Lytechinus pictus: one gene and its partners. The protein of the gene in region 1 purifies or fractionates together with the protein of each later gene. This does not show direct contact. Links are inferred from orthologs where the notes say so. Each region holds a gene or a part of one and is shown in the gene's direction. Other genes may lie near its edges. The genes, in order: succinate dehydrogenase [ubiquinone] flavoprotein subunit, mitochondrial-like; succinate--CoA ligase [GDP-forming] subunit beta, mitochondrial-like; succinate dehydrogenase assembly factor 2-B, mitochondrial-like.

What was found.
Region 2: the proteins of succinate dehydrogenase [ubiquinone] flavoprotein subunit, mitochondrial-like (region 1) and succinate--CoA ligase [GDP-forming] subunit beta, mitochondrial-like fractionate together in Homo sapiens (co-fractionation; 3 studies listed by BioGRID, with this or other methods). This does not show direct contact. The link is inferred for Lytechinus pictus from reciprocal best matches to the Homo sapiens genes SDHA and SUCLG2.
Region 3: the proteins of succinate dehydrogenase [ubiquinone] flavoprotein subunit, mitochondrial-like (region 1) and succinate dehydrogenase assembly factor 2-B, mitochondrial-like purify together in Homo sapiens (co-immunoprecipitation; 3 studies listed by BioGRID and IntAct, counting the BioPlex papers as one, with this or other methods). This does not show direct contact. The link is inferred for Lytechinus pictus from reciprocal best matches to the Homo sapiens genes SDHA and SDHAF2.

What each region holds. Positions count from the first base shown.
Region 1 is NC_087245.1:35,499,900-35,507,469, reverse strand, and holds the start of succinate dehydrogenase [ubiquinone] flavoprotein subunit, mitochondrial-like, read left to right. Parts: upstream 1-4,490; 5' UTR 4,491-4,643; coding exon 4,644-4,715; intron 4,716-7,570. UniProt on the Homo sapiens protein: Flavoprotein (FP) subunit of succinate dehydrogenase (SDH) that is involved in complex II of the mitochondrial electron transport chain and is responsible for transferring electrons from succinate to ubiquinone (coenzyme Q).
Region 2 is NC_087247.1:36,259,908-36,267,045, forward strand, and holds the start of succinate--CoA ligase [GDP-forming] subunit beta, mitochondrial-like, read left to right. Parts: upstream 1-4,106; 5' UTR 4,107-4,168; coding exon 4,169-4,234; intron 4,235-7,138. UniProt on the Homo sapiens protein: GTP-specific succinyl-CoA synthetase functions in the citric acid cycle (TCA), coupling the hydrolysis of succinyl-CoA to the synthesis of GTP and thus represents the only step of substrate-level phosphorylation in the TCA.
Region 3 is NC_087260.1:13,420,868-13,428,841, forward strand, and holds the start of succinate dehydrogenase assembly factor 2-B, mitochondrial-like, read left to right. Parts: upstream 1-4,962; 5' UTR 4,963-4,985; coding exon 4,986-5,057; intron 5,058-5,960; coding exon 5,961-6,124; intron 6,125-7,160; coding exon 7,161-7,270; intron 7,271-7,974.

The sequences.
Region 1 (7,570 bases):
TAAGTTTCGATGAAATACTGTTATCAAGTTTTCGTTTATTTGTTTATGTTTCAAAACTTGTACAAATGTTGGTTTGTACTACTTTGCATTTTTGTTTCCAGCACAGGGGCCGCGGAACAGGGGGGGGGGGCTGGGGGGCCCCCACTTTTTTCAAAACCGTGTACCAAAATGTAAAAATGACCATATGATTGTGATTTTTATCATGGTCAGCCCCCCCCCCCCCCACTTTTGGCTCACCCCCCCCCCCCACTTTGAAAACCGTTCCGCGGCGCCTGCAGCAAGAATATTAACAGCTGCCAATGATGTTCTAATAAATTCATTCAAAGGTGCATGTGTTCCCCCCCCCTTTTTTTGAGAGAGAGTCACAGCAATTATTATTCATTTTAATGGGAATATGTCGTTCATAAATAAGTGGGTATTTTTTTTTCTTGCTTGTCCAATTTTATGTGAGACAAAATTACCTTCATTTTTTTAGTGAAGCTTTTTTTTTTGGCTTGTCAAATTTTCCTAGGGAAAATGTGACTCCCCTTTTGGAAAATCTTGGACCCGTCCCAACTAGAGGGAATTTTTATGCCTAAGTAAATCTTGAAAAACAACATTTTGGACACTGATTGCAGTCAATGTTCCGTGACATTACACTGAGTAATATAATTATTCATCCCTATTTCATGGAAGCGTTGTTGGTTGGTTGGTTTTAGAGATGATGGCGCTATTCCATCGATATCGATGATTTACGCCAGGCTAAATAAATTTAGTTGGTAGGAAATTCTTTTCGGGAAGCAGGAGAGAAGTAAAGGTAAATATCAATTAATTAATCATGTTTTGATTTTGTTAAATATCTTATTTACAAAGACCGAGAATAAAAAAAAACCCTCCTTCATTGAATGAAATAAAAAATAGTATTAGGGGGATCAAAGAGTTACAATCCATTTCTCTAAATGGGAATACTTAAACATTAGACCATGCACTAACTGGAGCCCAGAGCCAGTTCTCCTCCGGATAGGGGATGGGGTGTTTTAGGGAGGATGGGGGGGGGGTAGGGTCCAGGGCTGAGTTTGTTGTTGGGATTGAATAAATCTGATTGAAGAGGCCGAGGTTATGTTTTTTTTTAATATGCTGATGGCTTCAATTCGTTTAGGATTTATTAATATTTGAACATTTTTGCTCGCCTGCTCGCTTCAACCGCTTTCAACTTTTTTTGGGGGGCAGAAATTTTGCCTATATGCCATGCTTGGCCCCTCAAATTTTTGAAATAGCCCATTTGGATATTGAAGATTGTGTTCAAGTTTACCAAATATCATTAAGAATGAAAACATTCTTGTTGGCTAAAGAAAATAATACTAGGAAAATCCTAATGGAATAGAAATCAACCTTGTTATCACTCTTTAGAGTTTAGTTACATGTATTTTCAAAGTATGAAAATTGTTGTCAAAATTGCAGTCAGATCTGTCAAAATTATTCCTGTCATCAAATCACTTTAATCTTTATCATTATCATTATTACCATCATTATTATTAATATTGTCATAATCATTCATGACACGTTACCAATAAATAATGTTATTTTTCATCACTGCTGTTTTCTTGGTGATAATTACAATTATTGATGGCACTATAGCTGCTGTATAGTACACTTACTACTGCTACTGCTGACTGGTACTATTGACTAGGATAGTGTCATTAGATATACAGAACGATTGAAACATGTATAATTACTTATATAAAAGCAATGCAAAAGTATAAAATACAAAATGCTTTGAAAAAGCCTTGAAATTTCAAGGCTCAAAGTCATCAAGGCCAAATAAGCTTTGAAAAGTAGGCCTTAAAGGGATGGTCCAGGCCGAAAGTATTTATAGCTTAATAAATAGAGTCAAATTCACTAAGCAAAATGCCGAAAATTTCATCAAAATCGGATAACAAATGACAAAGTTATTGAATTTTAAAGTTTAGCAATATTTTCTGAAAACAGTCGTCATGAATATTCATTAGGTGGGCTGATGATGTCACATCCCCACTTGTTCTTTTGTATTTTATTATACGAAATTAGGTTTATTCACATTTTTTCCTCCAAGAACTAGAAAAATTGGATTGACAACTGATTTAGTGCATTAGATATTTATTGCTGCAACTTATTTCATTATAAGGGAGACATATTATTCGCACAAGTATGAAATATTGAAAAAAATATGATTTCATGCAATAACATAAGAAAACGGAAAGTGGAGATGTGACATCATTAGCCCACCTAATGAATATTCATGAAGACTGTTTTCACAAAATATTGCTAAATTTTAAACTTCAATAACTTTATTACTTGTGAGGATCAGTACAAAATATCCTGAAATACTAATAGCATGATTAGCAAAGAGGGATATGAAATCAAAAGATATGACTCGATGGCACGGGCAATAATGGCGGGAAAATGGGGGAAAAGAGGCAAAAAGAAACTGGAAATGAGGGTAGAGCTAAAAGCTAGATTGGAAAACCAGAATATGAAGAAAATGGACAAGAAAAAAAATTATTATAATAACACGATCGGGCTGCCGAGGATTGAAAAATATGAAGAACGGGAAGAAAGGTGGATGGCGTTTGTTATAAGCTTGCTAAATTTTAGGCGATAATGGTCGCAATCAGGACCCAAAAATCCTTAGCCAAGGGCTAGTTATATCCTTTGTATCATTGTATGTTATGTCCTAACCTAAGTAAAGCCATTCGCTGGCAAGATTTACCGTAAAAAGCCTGTTTTTGTTTGGCTAAATTTCCAAATCTACTATCACATGATTAGAATTTCATTTCAAAATCATTTAAAAAGGCAAAAAAAAATCTGGCTCGCTTCGCTCGCTGGCGACTTTTACAAATATTTCCACATTAGCTACTTGTTCTGCCTCAAACTATTTCGTAAATGTTGTCATAAGCATCCTACTAAAGCTGCAAAGTGCTCCAAAACAGCTGTTTCGTTCTTTAAAACATTCTCATCCATTCACTGTTAGCTCCCAACATTTTTTTTAATCTTTCATGTCATTATATAAAATTATAAATTCGCTCGCGCTACGCGCTCGCATGTAACTGTTGACTGAGATAAGCAAATTATCTGTTCACATGGGGCTTAAAAATCCAATGTTCAAGTCAATATGCTTCTCGCGATTAGAGTTTTCATTATTCCTTTTATAGCGAGATACACATCCTGCGTATTCATAATTTTCATAAATCAAAACTTTATTTTCAGCTCCCGCTACGCGCTCGCATCAATTGTTTATAAATTAGGTAGCCATCCAGTTAATGACTACAAAAAGTGCTTAGAAAGTCCAGTCATCATCTCAGGATATCAAAAAATTTCAGCTCGCTCTTCGCGCTCGCATTATTTCATCTGGTGAGATATCACCTTCATGACCCAGTGCAAACAGCTCGCTTCAAGTCCCTTTTCCTGTTATAGGGTCTACATGTGTACATAAAAAAAATAGGTCGCGCTTCTTGCTCGATTTTAAGAAATAGGCAAAATATTTGAGTATTGCCCCCCCCCCCCCCCACACACACAAATGTTCTTTTGCCTCCCCCGAGTTAAAATTCCTTGTAATGCCATTACCCCGAACCCGATCCGCATAGCACTGGCCCCAAAAGTTATGCAACCGAGAACAAATAAGAAAAGATGAAAAATATAAAGGAAAGGAAAGGAAGATGTAAGATATGATGTTATTTTCTGAATACCTTGTCAAAATCAATCTCAAAGTTAGATTTTCATAAAAAGGTTATTTTGTTCACGCTCGCTTGGGACTTTTTTGAAATTTTTGCTCCGCGCGCCATGCTGTGCCCTCTCTTTTTTTTTGTACTTATCACCATGGACGGAAATCTGTCCCCAAAGGTAGGGGGACCAGGGCTGCAAAATTTGATAAGCAAAAAAAAAAAAAAAAAAAAAAGTTTTTCACCCAAAATGTAAGGTCATTTAAACAAAAATATTTGACAAGCAAAAAAAAAGGTTTTCACCCAAAATATATACAAGGTCATTTAGTCCAAATACATGTATTATTTCGATTGTGAAGAATGACGTATTTCTAACCATCATAACAGAACAAAAATAGTAGGGCCAGACATTCGATACTGTGTCCCCCTACTATTTTTGGTAGGGGGACGCGTCCCCCCTGGGATTTCCGCCCATGCTTATCACGCATTGAGCTTCACCCTAATGCTCGGGCCCCATTCTTCTGAACCAATAAGTCTATTGCGATCCTAACTCTAACCCTGTGCAAATGTCGCAGGAACCTACGTCGCACATCCTTCCCATCCTTGCATATTGTGCACACAAAAAAACGGGACAAAAAACCCGGAAAAAAACCCAATAAAAGGGCCTCCTTCCCCGCCCCAATTCCTCAAGCATTATTATGTAACGAGAATTGTGACAAGTTTCGTAAGTGGCTTTCGCTGACTCCACCAGTATCACCGAGTTTATACGCAAAACGAACACCCGCTAGTGTAGCGCTAGCGCTGAACGAACACAAGCGAAATCCGATATGCAGGATATTTCATAATAGAAATTTGAGCCGAGCAAATTGGGAAGCCGGGACGAAGACGACAGGAAAAGATTAGAAACCTATTTAAATATCTGTGGAAAATAGATTTGAGTGATTGCAGTGTTGTCTCCTTCAATAAATGACAATGGCAAGTCAGCTTGGAGTGAGATTATGGTCAGCTGCAAAGAAAATCGACATATTCCCAAAACTTGTAAGTACCGCGGTACGATCTACGCTACCTCGAGCGAAGTTCGTGCAGGCTCCACTCCACTTCACTACCGCTACACTACGCTTCACCTACCCGAACTTCGAGACCATGAACTCGATCGGATATTCCTAGTGACAAAAGGTGGGATTTTATGGGAAGAAAATACAAAATTCATGCAACATTACGATCTTTAAAAACAAGTGCAACTAATATTCTTACTTTACACAAAGTTTCACTTCTTTTCCATGCTTCTATCACTTTTTATCAGTCTCAAAATTGATGATTTAGAGCCAACATGAAGTTCCTCACACGTATAATATTAATGCGCTGCCGACTTCAAAACATCGCATGCGGGAGGTACCGGGTCTGGTCCGAGCTCGGACCCTCGCGCGCATGCGATGTTCTGAAATCGGCAGTGAATTATTACGTGTGAGGAACTTCATGTTGGCTTTAAATCATCAATTTTGAGACTGATAGAAGCATTGAAAAGAAGTGAAACTTTGTGTAAAGTAAAAATATTAGTTTTACTTGTTTTTAAAGATCGTGATGTTGCATGAATTTTGTATTTTCTCCCCATAAAATCCCACCTTTTGTCACTCGGAATATCTGATCGAGTTCATGGTCTCGAAGTTCGGGTAGGTGGAGCGTAGTGAAGTGGAGTGGAGCCTGCACGAACTTCGCTCGAGGTAGATCTACGCGATCAACACGTACGTACTCACTGACACTGCCACTGCTACAGTGCTGGCAACGGCTCGACCGTGGCCATGTCGATGCGCTCAGGCCAGTGGCCGAATTCTGAAAATGACGTATCTTCAGAGTCAGTGGTGGACCGTGACCCAAAGCCAAGGGGACAAATGATTGGAGGGGCACTGACACTGTATTCTTTGTGAACAATGCTGCATGCTGTACCCCTCCAATCAGTATAGAGCCGGAGGCGCACGGCCAATATGGGAGACTGTCTCCCAAGTCAAGAGAGGGATTATCTCCAATATCAGAGACTTTTGTAAATAATTTGGGTATCCAATTTCAGAGACAGTCTCCAGTTTGGGAGACCAATTTCCTTTGTTTACATTTGCTGCAAAAGGTTTACCTCGGCGGCAAATAAAACTGTGATTGGCAGATTCCTCATGAAAAATTACCCCTTTTCACCATCTACTTAAAAAAATTAACCATCTACTTTTGTTTTGATAAGGATTTTTGTTGTCATCCACACACAAAACAAATGGGCTTCTGACCCAAGTGAGACAAAATTTTGGGTGGAAAAAATAACGCTTTTGACTTTTGTTGGTGTTTCTTTTGTTCTTTTGCAAAGCAAGTCTCCAATATGGGAGATTGTCTCCCCTATTGGAGAGAGTCTCCCATATTGGCCGTGCGCCTCTACTGTTGTGCCAATGGCAATGCTTTGTGATTTTGTCTCCTCCGGGTTAGCCAGGCGGCTTCTAGAGAGTAAAAATCATTTACTAACGTAAGGTTACTCATACGAAGCCAGGCCTTCTATCTCATAGACCCACACAGAGCCAGCCAAAACCTGAAACTTTCACCCCCGAGATTTCTACTTTCCTTCTAAAAGATCTAGCTCTAAATCATGTACATGTCGCGTAACGTTGGGGAAGTACAATAAGAAACAAGATGGCGGCGTAAACATCGGGCAAGTCTCTTCCGTCTTTTCACAATATTTTTTCATTTTTTTGATGAATTCTTGTTTTAAAAATAACAACGAGAGCGTAGAAATGTCGGAAATTAAGTTTTATCCCATGTACATGTTTTAGAGCTAGATCTTTTAGAAGGAAAGTAGAAATCTCGGGGGTGAAAGTTTCAGGTTTTGGCTGGCTCTGTGTGGGTCTATGAGATAGAAGGCCTGGCTTCGTATGAGAGTAACCTTACGTTAATAAATGATTTTTACTCTCTAGAAGCCGCCTGGCTACTCCGGGTAACGGTCCGCCACTGTCATGACTGTTCAGAGTTATAATAAAATCTAGCCTTGAGTTGAGGACTCCATGTCTGATATTTTTTAATAATAGTATTTTGACATATACTTCTTCAGACATGGAGCCTTGAACCGCCTGCCATCATAGTCATGATAGAGACACATGTAAACAAAGTGGATTTCCCTAGGAAATCCATCTTTTAAGATAAAAATCACGTAAATATTTTTGATTTTATTTATTTTTAAACTTTTAACCCCTTCATATGCATTAGGCCTTTGAAGGTTCATGCCGGCATTGCTGTGAGGATCCATGTCTATATGTGACTGGGGCAGTCAAATATATTCCTGTACACACGCGTGACCAAGGAATTTCCAAACACCCCCTAAACAAGTTTTTCTCTGTGTCTGTGTGCAAAATGACCCCCTAAACAAGTTTTTCGCAGGCTAAATACATTTTGGCCCCTAAACAAGTGTCGCCAAAATATGACCTCAGGGAAAAAATTACCCTAAACACGTTTGGCTAGTCTTTAAAAGAAAAAAGCTTTGGGGGAAAAAACATACCCTAAATACGTTTGACCCCGCGATTGACCAGTCTTTCAAAACCACCCTTTTTCTTGAATATCTGTGTTTTCGATACCCTTAACCAGGGCTCGACACTAGCGCCGGTCCGACGGTCCCAGACCGGTAAAAATCACTGTCGGACCAGTAGATTTTCAGAAATAGCAAGATTTACTGGTCCGACATAAACAGTAATAAAAACTATTGTTGGGCCAGTAACTTTTTCAGAAATGGTCAAATTCGCTAGTCCAACATAAACATGAAAAATATTCCATGACTCAAATTGCGAACCATTTTCCTCCCGTTAAATTCTGGCATTCACACACAGAACACACACAGAATGAATCGCATGCAATTTTTGATAGGGTAACAT
Region 2 (7,138 bases), on another chromosome or scaffold:
GCTGCAACTTATTTCATTATAAGGGAGACATATCATTCACTCTGGTATGAAAAAAATGAAACAATTTTGATTTCACAAGAAACAGGATATTGGGAATGTCACAGCATCAGCCCACCTATGAAATATTTATGACGACATGCATATCACCATTTTCATAAAATATTGCTAAACTTTAGAATTAAATAATTTAACTAATGGTTATCAGATTTTGATAAAATTTATTCATTTTTGATAAAATGTATTTGATATAAATATTTTCAGCCCGGAGTACCCCCCCCCCCCAATCAAGCTGCGTATCTGAATAAACATGCCTGCGCGTGTTTAGAGTTCGACCTAGTATCTGGGCATTCTAAATACACTTTTTTTATTATAAAAATCAATAATGCGAGCGCGAAGCGCGAGCAGAAAATATTAGATATTCCGATCTGAAAGAGGGTGAATTTAAACACTATTTCAAGTAATGTGTCGGAAAATTCTGAAGTGGGGGGGGGGGGGGGTTCTACAAAACGTCGTTCATTTTCATTACATTTCTGTCATTTATCATACCTACCACTAGATTTCCAGGAGGTGCGCTGTCTATGGAAAATAACACACGCAGCACCCTAAAATTTTGGAGTTGCTTCACCCCCAGCACCCCCGCTTCCCAGCCCCCAGGGCCATGGGGCAGGGCGAAAAAGACTGAAATTTGATTTATATTATCTGACTTTTAATTTTTGTATACAATACACGGGCGGTCGGGCGCGGGCTCACTTGATTCGAGTCCAACCACCCCCATGTCCTTCCCTGATATCGAAGAGTGTGTATGGTTATCACGTATTGCGCGCGACTCCGTCTGTTTTGGAGTGCTGCCCCGCTGGAGCTTGATTGAGTCGCGTTATAGGAGGGATGTTATTGGAATATGTGAAAGACTATGTAAATGATTTGCGATTGTCGGAAGTGATAATTATGTACATTATAACATATTTTAAAAAATACAGGGGGGAACCCGATTTCGTGGGGGTGCTGCCTATGGAAAATAATACACGCAGCACCCCCATACACCCCCGCTTCCCAGGTCCCTGTTCAGGGAGGAATTATTGTTTTTTTTTTCACTTGACAATGAAGAGAAAATTATAATATTTCATATTTCATATAATAAAATACAAAAGAAATAGTGAGTGGATGATGTCATCAGTCTCCTCATTTGCATACCAACCGGGATGTGCATATAACTATTTTGTGAATTTAAGCGAAACTTTAAAATGTCATAACTTTCTTATTTTACATCCGATTTTGATGAAATTTTCAGTGTTATGTTTGTTGGCATTTTCTCTTTTTATTCAAATCAACTTTTTGTTTGGATGGACCTGTCCTTTAAGGGATTGGAATTATAAGACATCTCGGCTGATCAGGGAGACGCTGTATATATAGCGGTCCGCTATTACAGGCTGCACAAAACGAGGGGAGACGGGGGGGGGGGGGGGAGGGGGGAACAGAAAAAAAAAGGAAATTGAAGAAGAGGAAGAAAATCTGAAGAGGAAGCAAATTAGCATATATAGCAATCTTGCCAATGCATTCGCATTCATGAGGATAACATGGTGAAGCAGTGATTATTTTCGATCGAGCTATAGTAAGGTTCATTCAGTTACAAATCATGTTCATGATTATTATAACACCCTGCATTCCATATTTTTGTAAAACTGATTATACTTTTAAACATGCTTGGACGTTTGTGTAAACTCACAAACTCCAGATAGTAAATTGGTCGAAAGTAAGTTCAATGCTCTTTTGTCCATTGACACAACTCCTTTTGTTTAGAGCAAAATTAATGACCACACACCCATCACCTGTTTGCACAGATTGATGTGGTGGCCTTATCCTTGCATTATGTCCCGCATTGTGTTTATAATTCCTCCTAAGATACCATAATGAGAATATACTTTATCCTCCATCCAACCTCCTTCCCAGATAATTGCTCCCTGACTTCAGGTGCAAATACCCTTTCATTTTTGTTATGCTCCATCCTTCTTTCCTGATTAGTTTATACATTGTTTAACTCCTCCCCCCTAATGGTGCAAAACTAAGAGATGTACCCCCAAAATAATTAAAAGAGGACTTCTCTTCTCCGTCTCTTGACGAGAGGACACTGCATGCGTGCTTGGTCTCCCTCGCCATCCCTCTTTAGGGGTTACCATATGGCCTTTGTTGGGGGAGTACCTAATATTATAACAGCCTTTTTATAACCAGCTATATTTCCTATGGTATATACATCTTATGATTGGTATTTATCATCTTTGGAATATAAAATACTAATGAACTGTAATCATGGTAATCATTGTGTGGCAGACTATTGATTTGTCTCATCATTCTTGTAACACTGAACAATCACCACGCTACTATAATATTTCAAGTGTTACAATTACAAAACAACAAGTCAACCCCAATAAAAAGTTGATTTAAATAAATAGAGAAAAATCCAACAAGCTTAACACTGAAAGTTTCATCAAAATCGGAGGTAAAATAAGAAAGTTATGAAATTTTTAAGTTTCGCGTAATTTCGTCTGTCAAAACGAGGGGATTGATGACGTCACCTATAGCACTCACTATTTCCTTATTTTATTGTGAAATATGAAATGTTCTTTAATGTTATCCAGCATGGTAATGTGAGCATATTTTCCCCAGAATATGTGGAATTATATTGTTTTGGAACCTTTCTTCAGTTTCTTGGCAACTTGACATGTTTGAGCCATGAATAAAGGAAGCTGGTTTGTGAAGAATTGTACTGAAACGTGGGCAACATTATGGTTCAATCAAGTTGGCCTTATTGTCAAATTTGTACACAAAAAAATGAATTATAGTATAATTCAAACAAAAACAACAGTGAGTGAGGGGCATCATCATATCTCTCATTTGCACGTCACTAAGTTGTGCATATAACTATTATGTGAAAAATGAGCAAAACTTTAAAATGTCATATAACTTTTTTCACATCCGGTTTTGATGAACTTTTCAACATTATGGTTGTTAGATTTTGTTCTATTGATTCAAATCAACATTAATATTTTTCTTGGGTGGACTTGTCCTATAAATAGTGCAGTTCATAGGTCTGAATGTTGGTTAAAAGAAACAGCTCGCTCTTCGCGTTGGTAATTTTTGTCTATAGTGGGATAAGTACTCTGTTCAAGGATATAAATAGTCACTTTAGGTCGGCCTATTCATTTTGGTGGCATATGCATTGTATTCACAATATCAAAAAGCGCTTAACAATAAATGTTCAGTTTTCAGGTCAATCCTATATATAAATTTAATGTCAGCTATACGCTTCACGCCTGTATTATTGACTTTGTATTCCTTCAGAGTGCCTTGTTATGGATTTTTTCTTACATGTCGAGGGCCCTTCTCGAAATAAGCTTCGGGGCATGGATGTAGATCGCGGGGGGGGGGATATATCCCCCAACTTATGTCACGGGTGAGTTGTCCTATGTTATCATCCCCCATTAGTTGAACATCATCATTTTAGGATGAATCATTTGACAAAAAGTATGCCTATGATGATAAAGAGGGAGCACAAAAATGATTATGATGATTGTAAAAAGTTCAGAGCTATCGTGAATTATTCCTCAGCTTACTTCCATTATCATTTTTTTTCACAGACCATGGCCGTTGGCAAATTAAATCAATCAATCAATCAATCAATCAATCAAACCAATCAAGCAAGCAAGCAAGCAATAAACCAAAACCAATCGTATTTTTTTTTGTCAATAAAAAAATATATATAACACGCATGACAGAAAGTATCTCCTAAATTCGAACACACATCAATATCTAAGTTGTGGATAGTGGCCAGTCAACATAATTATGGATCATTATATTTATATCTTATTATCTTCTTCTCTTTTTTATTTTTATCCGACCCGGTTATTATATTTTTTTCATTGTTGTTTTTATCTGCCTATCAACATGGGGGACATGTCCCTGTGTCCTCTAGCCTGGCTTCGTATACGAGAGTTACCACCCCCACCCCCTAAAAAAAACTATAAAAAAACACCTCCTCCTAGCTAGCTCAAGGCCCCGGCTCAAGAAAGTGCAGTGAAAAAGACAGCTCGAGCAATAGCAATAGCGCCATCATTTTAAAATTAATTTGTGTTCGTGGTTTTTCCATTTAGATCCACCCTTTTCACCCTTCGTAATGGCCCATGTTGCAAGGTTAATATCAGGCTGTCGCCAGTCTTTTCAGACAGTCCTCCAGCGAAATGTAAGTTTACTCTATTAACCAAAATATTTTTCTGATATCTATAAAAAAAAAGTTAGTTATATATTGTTAGTATAATGAATTATATGTATTGTAAAGTTAGATCTAGCTGGTTCTCCAAAATTGTTTTATTACAGTCCCATGCCTAGGGAACTATGTAGCCTAGGCCTTTCTTAACTCTTTACTTTATGCGCTGGGCCCACGTACGTGCATAGCGCCAACTTAATGTGTTCCGCCATCTTGCTTGTTGGTTGCCGATAAAATGCGCATTTTCAGATTTTTTAACGCTCAGTTATTATCCATGACTGAAACATTGACCAATCAAAAACTAAGATTCTACAAGAAATATGAATATTCATATACGAAAGTATAAACATAGATAATTCAGTTTTATGTGAATATTGGCTTAACTGCAGAATACCCCGCACATTTCATTACCTCAACGTTGGCGAGCCAACGACCTACGATGTGAAGAATCAGAATCAATCTCGACGTGATCGATCCTGAACGGGCTGAAGATTCGTTGTCTTGTCAGTTTTTACGATACGACCCGTACCGGTACTGTACTTCCGAGCCATACGAATACACGCGCGCATGCTTGTACTCTCGCGATCGCGCGCATACCGTTGGCGAGCCAACGACCTACGATGTTCCTACTATGTGCATAGGGTTAGGGTTAGGGTTAGGGTTAGGGTTAGGGTTAGTAGCATGCCAAATTCACAACGTTGGCATCGTTGGCTCGTTGGTAGCATGCCAAAGTCACAACGTTGGCATCGTTGGCTCGTTGGTAGCATGCCAAAGTCACAACGTGGCATCGTTGGCTCGTTGGCAGCAGGCCAAACTCACATCGTTGGCATCGTTGGCTCGTTGGTAGCATGCCAAACTCACATCGTTGGCATCGTTGGCTCGATGGCAGCATGCCAAACTTACAACGTTGGCATCGTTGGTTCGTTGGCAGCAGGCCAAACTCACATCGTTGGCATCGTCGGCTCGTTGGTAGCATGTCAAACTCACAACGTTGGCATCGTTGGCTCGTTGGTAGCATGCCAAACTCACAACGTTGGCATCGTTGGCTCGTTGGTAGCATGCCAATCTTACAACATTGGCATCGTTGGCTCGTTGGCAGCATGCCAAACTCACAACGTTGGCATCGTTGGCTCGTTGGTAGCATGCCAATCTTACAACATTGGCATCGTTGGCTCGTTGGTAGCATGCCAAACTCACAACGTGCTGCCAACGTTGTTGGCAGCAAGCCAATGCAACTCACAACGTTGGCATCGTTGGCTCGTTGGCAGCATGCCAAACTCACAACGTTGGCTCGTTGACAGCATGCCAAACTCACATCGTTGGCATCGTTGGCTCGTTGGTAGCAAGCCAACGCAAGTCAAAACGTTGGCATCGTTGGCTCGTTGGTAGCATGCCAATCTCACAACGTTGGCATCGTTGGCTCGTTGGCGGCATGCCCTATGCAAAAATCGCGTAATCAATCGTTGGCTTGACGTAAACAAGTTCGAATTTTAGTCACAACTCGGCTTTGTTCCAACATCCTTTCATCACATCGTAGGTCGTTGGTCGATTCAAACATCCATGCTCTCGTCGTGCGGGGTATTCTGCAGTTGTTCCTGAAATTTAAACCCAATACTTCAAAATATGGTTAGTTTTATGTCTCTAAAATGACCCTTAAAACCAGAATTTTATTAGTAAAAAATGAAGGTTTTCCCAAGTTGCCATGGTAACGCGGTCTGAGATATAAAAGCTTAGCAAACACTTCATTTCAGTGATCGAGGATGTATTTGTTTACGGTATACGTCTACATAAATTATAACATTTTTTTCCAGACCATGGATGAACTTTCAAAAAGAGACATTTTAGGCAAGTTTTTACGATTTCCGGCAATTTTCTGACACAGGCACTTTGAAGAGGTAATTTTTACAGAATTAGAAGAAGACATCATGGATTTTCCTAATTATCACGACGGATATGCAACTTACTTGTAAACAAATCAAACAAAGTCTATGATACATTTTCGATAATGCAAAAAGAGACATTCAAGTCTCTGATTGAGAGCCGCAGATTGAACATTCGCACGGCGCAATGGTAGCGTTTTCGCCGAATTCGTCGGGGCGAAAACTCCAAGAGAGCCGTACCACTCACCAGTCCCGAACGCTGCGCTGTATGTTTGATGATTTATCTGGTGCCATTTCGTGCTTATAAATTTGTTTTTTCTACAATGCCACTATCTCATTAAAATTGTTTGTCATGATAACATTGGAAATATTATCGTTTAATGGCCCAAAGGATCGACTGTAATAAAAGATACTTTGAAATATTGTCAGAGAGTGATTAGTTAGGTGATGTTTATGGTCAGAATTCAGTCATGGCTTCGGGTGAACTTACGCGAACGCGGTCACTTGCTCACGGGGCGAGTCGGCCTGGCCCTTTGGTGGAAGGCCGTTAGGCAACGTGCAGTGCAGCTAGAGCAGAGTTGGGGAGTTATAGGTATAAAAATACTTTGAAATAAGTAATCTGCAAATATTTTTGTCTTATCCCTTTGGATTACTTAGATAAGAAATTCAAATTCTCAAAGTTTAAATCAAATTTTAGACAGTGACAACAAAGAGTGGTGCTGTATGGGGGGGGGGGGGTGGGGTCTTGCATGCCCCCAATTCACGAACAAGAAAAAAAAGGAAAAGGTAAGAGAATCTTGCGAAATTGTTCAATTGGATTTTTGTAACCAAAAGTCAAAATTATGCTTATGTCGCTTGCTTGCAACTATATATTTTATAAATTTTGCCTGATACGCCATATCGTAGTACCCTCAATTATTTTCACTTGTTACGCCACTGACATGACTGATATAACATCTACTAGTTTATGATAACATTATTTGGTTGCGGGATCAAAGCA
Region 3 (7,974 bases), on another chromosome or scaffold:
TTTTATTTTGAAAAGGGACATTCATGTACATCATTTTGAAATAAGTGCACTCTCCATTTAAAAAAGGCATTTTTTCCTACTGGGATTTTTTTATGTAGGGGGTTAAGTGCCCCTGCCGCCCCCCGGTTCCGCCGCCCCTGCTGCTAATATAGCCTCGGGTTATAATTTTTATCTAAGTTCAAACTGGTATTAACAAAAATATGTTGGTATGACTGCATTTTATAACGATGGTTTTCTTTAAAATATATATTTTTTACCATTTCGATCCATCACATTTTTGCATTTTTTTGTCCGTCGATATGCCCAGCGCTGAGAGGTCATGCCAAAACGTGATTTTGCATGAAGTACATTCTCTGAACCATCATCGGAACTTCGGAATCACACAGAGATGGAAGACCCCTTCCCCCAAATAGTTCCGCCTAGCTGTATGTCCTCGAATATATATATATATATTTAATAAGACATCAGAAATGCGAAACACAAATTCACGAGTAATGCAGTTTTTGCAATAAAATTTGTTTTTTATTATATATATATCACCATGATAAGTACGTAATTTTATTATCCGAGCACATGCAGCGGACCGAGGAGGAGTGGGTGGAGGGAGAGGCACCTAGGAGACGTCATACTTGTTCTTGTTCAGTATACTACCATAACAAGTTGAAAAGAAAAATGCAAAGAGAAACTTGGAGGGGGATCGATGTTACATGGTTATAACATGGTTATAACGGGTCGTGTGGTCCAGTGGTTAGAGCATTGGACTCATAATCGCAAGGTTGTGAGTTCGAATCCCAACTCTGCCATTGTCTCCACGTTTGATAAAAAGGCCCGAGAGTGATATCTGTCGTCTATAACGTCAGCCACTATGACTGATTAACCTAGACGTAAAACGTTTCATAGGTAATTGGTTATATACCAGCTTGGCGTTTACCAGCAAAATGCTGTCCTGCCGAGTTCCTATACGGGAGTTACCACAAACAGAAACAGAAACAGAAACATACAGACCTACGCACCGGTATCATAGGCGGATCCAGGAGGCCGACGTTACGCCCCCCCCCCCCCCCCGATATTGGCGGCGCAAAGTAATATGAACGAAAGCAGAGGGGGGGAATATAAGAGGAAGAATGAATAAAAAAAGGTGAGGGGAATTCAGACTTGGGGAGGGGTGGGAGCCAATCATGTCACTACACAAGTATAAAAACAATTTAGCCCGCGCTTTGTGTTCGCATTGCCTGTTCGATGGAACATATATTCATCTATACCAATTCATTTATTGATTTATTCATTCAGTCATGGTTAAACAGGTTCACAAGTTCAGAGTTATTAGTATATAAAATCATAGTAACAAGTACAATGACAAGGTATAATTCATATCGAAATAGTATGAGACAGAAAGAAATATTAACTGATCAATGTAATACAAAACACGGAAACATTGTTGAAGGGCTTATAGTAAAACGAACAAGGGAACTAAATAGGCCTTTACTTATTCAAATTTTTGAGCACCTTATCCGTCAGTGTGCATCTTAATTGTTTAATGATCATATTGCTCAGATCAATTTTCAGGACACAATACACAGTCCGAAAATAATACCTCACGCTCGCATTTTTTATAGGGTTTAGTACTGTTACGACTATAGATTCCAACAAAAACTAGCTTTGAGCTGCCGATCGATCGGGAAAAATGTGGATGAAAATATTGTTCACCCCGGCCCCGTTATTAGTGAAAGCTGGATCCGCCCCAGAATATATTGTTTAAAAAAAAAAGGCATAGGCCACGCGGTATTTGTCATTTTTTTTGTGATAAATACATTGAGGCAGTATATTGACAAATAATCACTGGAAGAGAAAGAGCATCTTATAGGCCTATATAACGCACAAAGCAAAATAATGAAGAATGGCGGCAAAGCTAGTTCAATACAAAATGATTTCCTTTTCCTTTAAAAAAAATGTTACAACACGTTATAATAATGAACAAATCAAAATACAGAACCTGAAGAAATTGATAACGATTCAGTGAATCGGAATCGAAACAAAAATGCGTATGTAAATATAATTATAAAATAGAAATAAAAAACGGGAAAAAAAATAAGAATAGCCCTTTCACAAGCAACCATAATTCTCCCTCCCTTCATACCCTGGACAAGTAAAGAAAAAAAAATACAGCTAGAGAAACGAAGCAAAGATGAAAAGCAAGGAAAGGGAAGGAAGCCGTCTCTCGGTACCTGGTACTCTGCCCAGATATCAAGATGTACGTAGGACCTATTCTCCGCGATTTGAAAAACAACGTGCATAACATCACAATTATTATGATGGTCATTTAAAAAAGTTCCTTGGTTGTTTCCAAGTTATTTAATTTGCCGTCGAGGGACTGCGCGAATGCACACGCTCCTACAGGATATGAATGAAAAAGTCGCAAACAGACTCCGCCGTTCAATCCGATACTGTACTGTATAGCCGGTATACAGATCGGCACGTGAGACAAGCGCAGAGGCGATGGATATGAATATTCATGAGCAGGTATTGATGTCATTTGGTCTCAAGGTGGCGCTCTTCATTTTTATATCAATTTCAAAATCTGCATCAAAAGAAAGCTCACTTGGCAAAATTTCTCTTCTTTATATATTTTTTTGAGAATAAAAACAGTTCTTTTGGCCAATGCAATACATTTTATGGACTCAGAACTTGTTTATGAGTATTTTGAAAAGCGAAGAGTGAAATCTAAAAGAAAGTTTTGAAATAAACCAATGTCACAATTTACCTTTAATCTTATATTACAAATCAAAAACTTTATAAAAAAAACGGAATTAAGTCCTACATGTATGCCTATGTGAGCCTTCCACCTACTGAGAAAAATTGGTAAATGAATTATGATGGGGGGCCCCATGTCTGTGCACCTAAAATTTTACTTTAAGATTGAACCTGAATTTCTTTTTATTCCACAAAAAAAATCAGTTGATAATGTTCCTAATATTCTTATAAGTGTGCCAAAAATCTCACAAAAATTGGGGAGAAAAATATTTGATTTTCTTGGAAAAAACCTTGGCTGGTCATTAATAGATTGAACAAAAAAGTGGTGGGAAAGAGTTCCTCTTGCGACAGCCACCCAAAATAACAAGATTGTCGAGACTTCCGGTTCAATCACTTTTTTTTTTAAAGGTGTTTTTACCTTAGCTGGGACTCGAACTCACATTGTTGTAATTGCAGTCAAGATTCTTCCCGCTATGCTAGCAAGAAGCGCTGATACCCGAAGGGGTTTTCTAGCGATCATAAGACAATACTTCGACTAGTCTATTAGGCTTTCAGACCCTTTACTGACCAACTTAACCGATGTCTATGGACAATTACATGCACTCGATTCTCCTCGAAAATTTGACGGAATAGAGCCTTATTTTGGTATGTATGGTGAGACTACCACATATCGACCACCTCTTTTTAAACCGACCACCTTGCGCGCGTTAAAATTATTGCGTATTACAAACGATACGTGCGGGAGAGTAGGCGCAGTGTCCATAGAAAAGGTAAGAATCGATTTTACGAGAAAAAAAAGGAGCAACAAGAAGTAAAAATTTAGTAGAATTAATCAAAATTGTATTGACCAGACCCAAACCCCGCTGAAAAACCAAGAAATCTGATAGGAAATGGCTCTAGAACTAATATCCGTCGTCAATCGTCGAATCATGTGCCGGAGCTCGCAGTGGAAGTAGTGAGACGATCATTTAGCATGTTGACATCATAGAACTGATTTGGAAGAGTAAAAATATTTCGCCACCGCGACAAGAATCGGTCGTAAACTTAATGTACCGCGGGTGGTCGGTTTCAAAAGACGGGTGCAAATGAGCAAATGTAAAATCGTTGTATTCGTTGGTCGTCGATATATACGCGGATTGAATCGGAGTCGCCGAGCGAAACATGGGAATCTGATCTGCTCAATTTTCTGCACAAATGAGACGAAAACTGGGTAAAATTGATGAATATTTTCGCAGATACGATGCTTAGAAGATTAGGTGGTCGATAAGGGGTAGTTCCAACCATACTTCCACTCTCCCATCATACATGTTCTATATCAAGGCTAGATATATTATTTTGAACCTTCTCCATATTTTTATTTTCAATATTCGGTGGCTGTGCCTGTGGCAAAAGGAACTCTTCCCAGGCTGTCACATGAAATGCCCGAAATTCATTAATATTTTTCCACCATTTTGAAGTTGAGTCGGATTTTTCAAAAAGAACAGCGGATTTTTTCACTTTTAATTTATATTTCATGAATGAGTCGCCACTCGCCAGTCTGTAATTTACCATCTTTTTCACCCTTTGGCTTTGCTTTGGCTTTACTTTAGTTTAGGCTTCAAGACTTGACACCTGCTAGACTGAAATTATTTCTGCTAAGTCACCTGCCGAACTTCAATCAGCAGAAACTTACTAATACTTAGTAATAGTAATTACTAACCTCGCAATACGTGTGAGTGGGCCGGGCCGAACGAAACGGGCGAAACAAGAGCGAGATCTCGAACTGAATTTTCCAACACAAAAACACACACTCGGGACTACACATAATAAGTCGATCAAGTTTTTTTAGTCCATAAACAATCACCTCATTTCGATCGAATGCGACACCGAAACACCACACGCTCTGCACCCGCCAATCATATTACTCCAAAATATATATTTAAATGAAAATTGAACACCAAAGGACCAAAAAAATCATTTAAAAAGATATATAAAATACCTGCTCAAGTCATTCAACGAAAAAATATTGTTTTCAGCTGTTGCTATGTTATTTTCGAAGAGGTAAAAATTAAGTCACAAATTACTCATTTAAGATTTCAAATCTATTCATTTTCATTATCAAAATAATAAATAACATGAAAATAAATATTTTACCAGTGACAAATGTGATTTAAATATATTTTTTCCGAGTTTAATTTCTACTTATATAAACAATTATAAAACTTTGTTTTATCCCAGAATGCAATTCCGTAAAAATGGCATCTTATGTAAGTCGTCTGCTGCGACCATCTCGTCGAATTCTTTCAAATTTTGAGAGAAAATCTTTCGTAAGTTTTAATTTTTTACTCATTTCATTAATATTTTTCACTCAATCAAAGTTGTAGTGACTTTCCAAACACTTTTTTTACCTTTCTAAAAGTGAATTGAAGTTTTATTTGGTCAGGAAAATGACTACGGTCCCATGTGTCCGAAATGGTGTCGCCATAACTCTACCTCTCTAACAACAATGAATGAAGCACCAGACTTTGATCATGTCCCCACCCTTTTATTTATTATGAATCATAATTAGATTTATTTCATGTTTTAAATATAGATCTAGATGTCGACTATGTGTGCATGTTAAGCCTCTCTTGTAGTTGTACACTTTGTTTTTTCCGTTCTCGGACTGTCTACTTGGTGGATACACATTTTGAATAAATATATTTTCATCTGTTCATAGATATAGAGAATAATACAAAAGAATAATAAGTGAGGATATAACATCATCTGTATTGTTAAGTCAGCAAAATATCAGGATTGGTACATCAATAATTTGCTCATCGAATATTCATGAAGACGACATGTCACATGCATAGAAATATTTCACCAAAGACAAAGTAATGCAAAGCTTTTTAAAATTAAAATGTCACAATAACATAAATTTGTTAGCTAGGCCTCTATCTTTTCTGATTTTAATGAAATTTCCATTGTTTTGTTTAATTGTCTTGTTTAATTGTCAGATTTTACTGTATCTGTTCAAATCAATAATTTCAGCTTAGAATATCTCTTTAAACCACTATAATTAACCTTTCATTAATTTAGAAGTTTTTTGCTCTTTTACTTTTGATATTTTGTGTAGTAAGTATTTTTCCATTAGATCTGCCAAGTAATGTAAATAATTTGTGCCAGATAGATACATGGGCTTGATCAGTCAGTTCTAAGTATCTTTTATTTCCTTTTATTCGTATCAGGTATTAAGAGAGACGGCATCCATGAGTACATATCAGTCTCCTTCAGGTGAACCCAGTATTCCAGAGTGGAAGCAGCCACAGAATGAAACCATTGAGCTGAAAAGAGCAAGGCTCATTTATCAGAGTCGTAAAAGAGGAATGTTGGAAAATGGAATTATTCTAAGGTACTTTTGACATGCATCACCATTTTAAAGAGAAATTCCAGTAGTTGTAGTAAACACTGATTTCATGAGAAAGTCTGTAAAACCAGGCTTAATTGTCAGTATATCATCGAGGATCTAGATCTGGTACAGTTACATAAACTGAACTTTGTGAAATCTTGAAATCTACGCTGAAAAATGTTCAGACTGAACTTCCCCAACACAGATAAGCGCACGTGGGACTGTGTATAATTATTGCTTTGAGCGTCGGGCCCGACGCTCTACCCGAATCCTGTGCTTATTTGCTGATTTCTCAGCAATTACACAATTTCTTCTAGAATCCTTTGGCACATGCGTTTCATTTATACAAACAGACACTTTGGTGGTCATTTCATTGGATTCTGTACGAACTCATTTTGATATCGTTACCAAAACTAGCATTTACCTTTAAATGGATGTCTCATTTAGGTCATTCCAATATTCACATGTGATGCATTTAAACAAATGATGTTTGTACATTGTAAGGAAATAGTATAAAAATTGGTGATTGATATTTCAACCACATCTTATTTCTAAGCCCCCTCACAGTCATCGAAGACTTTTTCTTATAGAATAAATCCGCGCTGAGCAATAATTATTCTGTTTGGCAACAAACAACTTCTCATGCTTCATTTTCATTTTTGAAATATTCTTATTCAATTACAGTAAATCAAATACAGTAATCTGTATTCCTAATCCCATCTCTTCTGCTCCATGTCCAAATCTCTCTTTCCTCTCTTCCCCTATTTTCTGCCTCTGTTTCTTCCTCTCACTCATCCTTTCTTAACTCAGCATACATTTATCCCCTGTCTATTGAATCCCTACTCAGTTTTTTTTCTATAAGATATTTTTGATAAAGACATCAGTCCAAATGTTGATCCCGAGCTAGCTGCCATGTTCATATTTGACCACTGAATATATGAATATATACTGTCTGATATGAGTATTGTGTATTGTTTAATGTATAGTGAAATGATCATGTGTCACTAATCTTTAATCTCACTTTGTTTACACATTACAGCACATTTGCTGGTCGTTATCTAGAGGGATTTGATGAAGAGCAACTTGACCAGTATGATAACCTGATCAATAAGCCTGGCAATGATTGGGATCTCTTCTATTGGGTAGTTGGTAAGTTAACACATCAACTCCTGAATTATATTATTCCCATGACCTTTGCATAGGGACCATGCATACAACAGACCTATAGCTTGATGTGTTATCCAATGCTTTACCAGATTAGCAACAACAACCAAAAAAAAAAGTTAGGGACAAGCACCAATATTACTTAAAACATATTTGAAGGAAATATCTGAAAGAAAATTGTCATATTATATTCAGAAATGAAAACCCCCAAATATTCTACTAGAAATAATGATTCTATTGGTGTTGAAGTCTGGTTTACATGTGATCAATCCTTTTTTTAATATTTTTTTTAATAGTTTTAAAACTTGTTTCGACATAGAAGTTGTAGAATTTATGTCAAACAACCTTTATGCTACTATTTAAGCAGGGAATATTCTTAGTTTACTTTTAACCATAGATGACTCACTATCATTTTTATAAGTCATTCTCTGACAAAAATAAGCTGCAAAAGAGCTTCTATTGGGTTCAATACAAAATATAGTTTGAAATCAAAAGAATTAAAAAAAAACAGCCTCCATAATAATAAGCCTTTTAGTTTTTCAGGAATTGGTTTCCACTTTTGGTTTTGGCTTTCCCTGGCCACTTTTCTGTTCTTTTGTATCAATTTATGAAAATCATTAAAAAAGATAACATATTAATGTACTGAAATTAAATTTATACATGTAGATACATTGCATTTCAAGAAATGA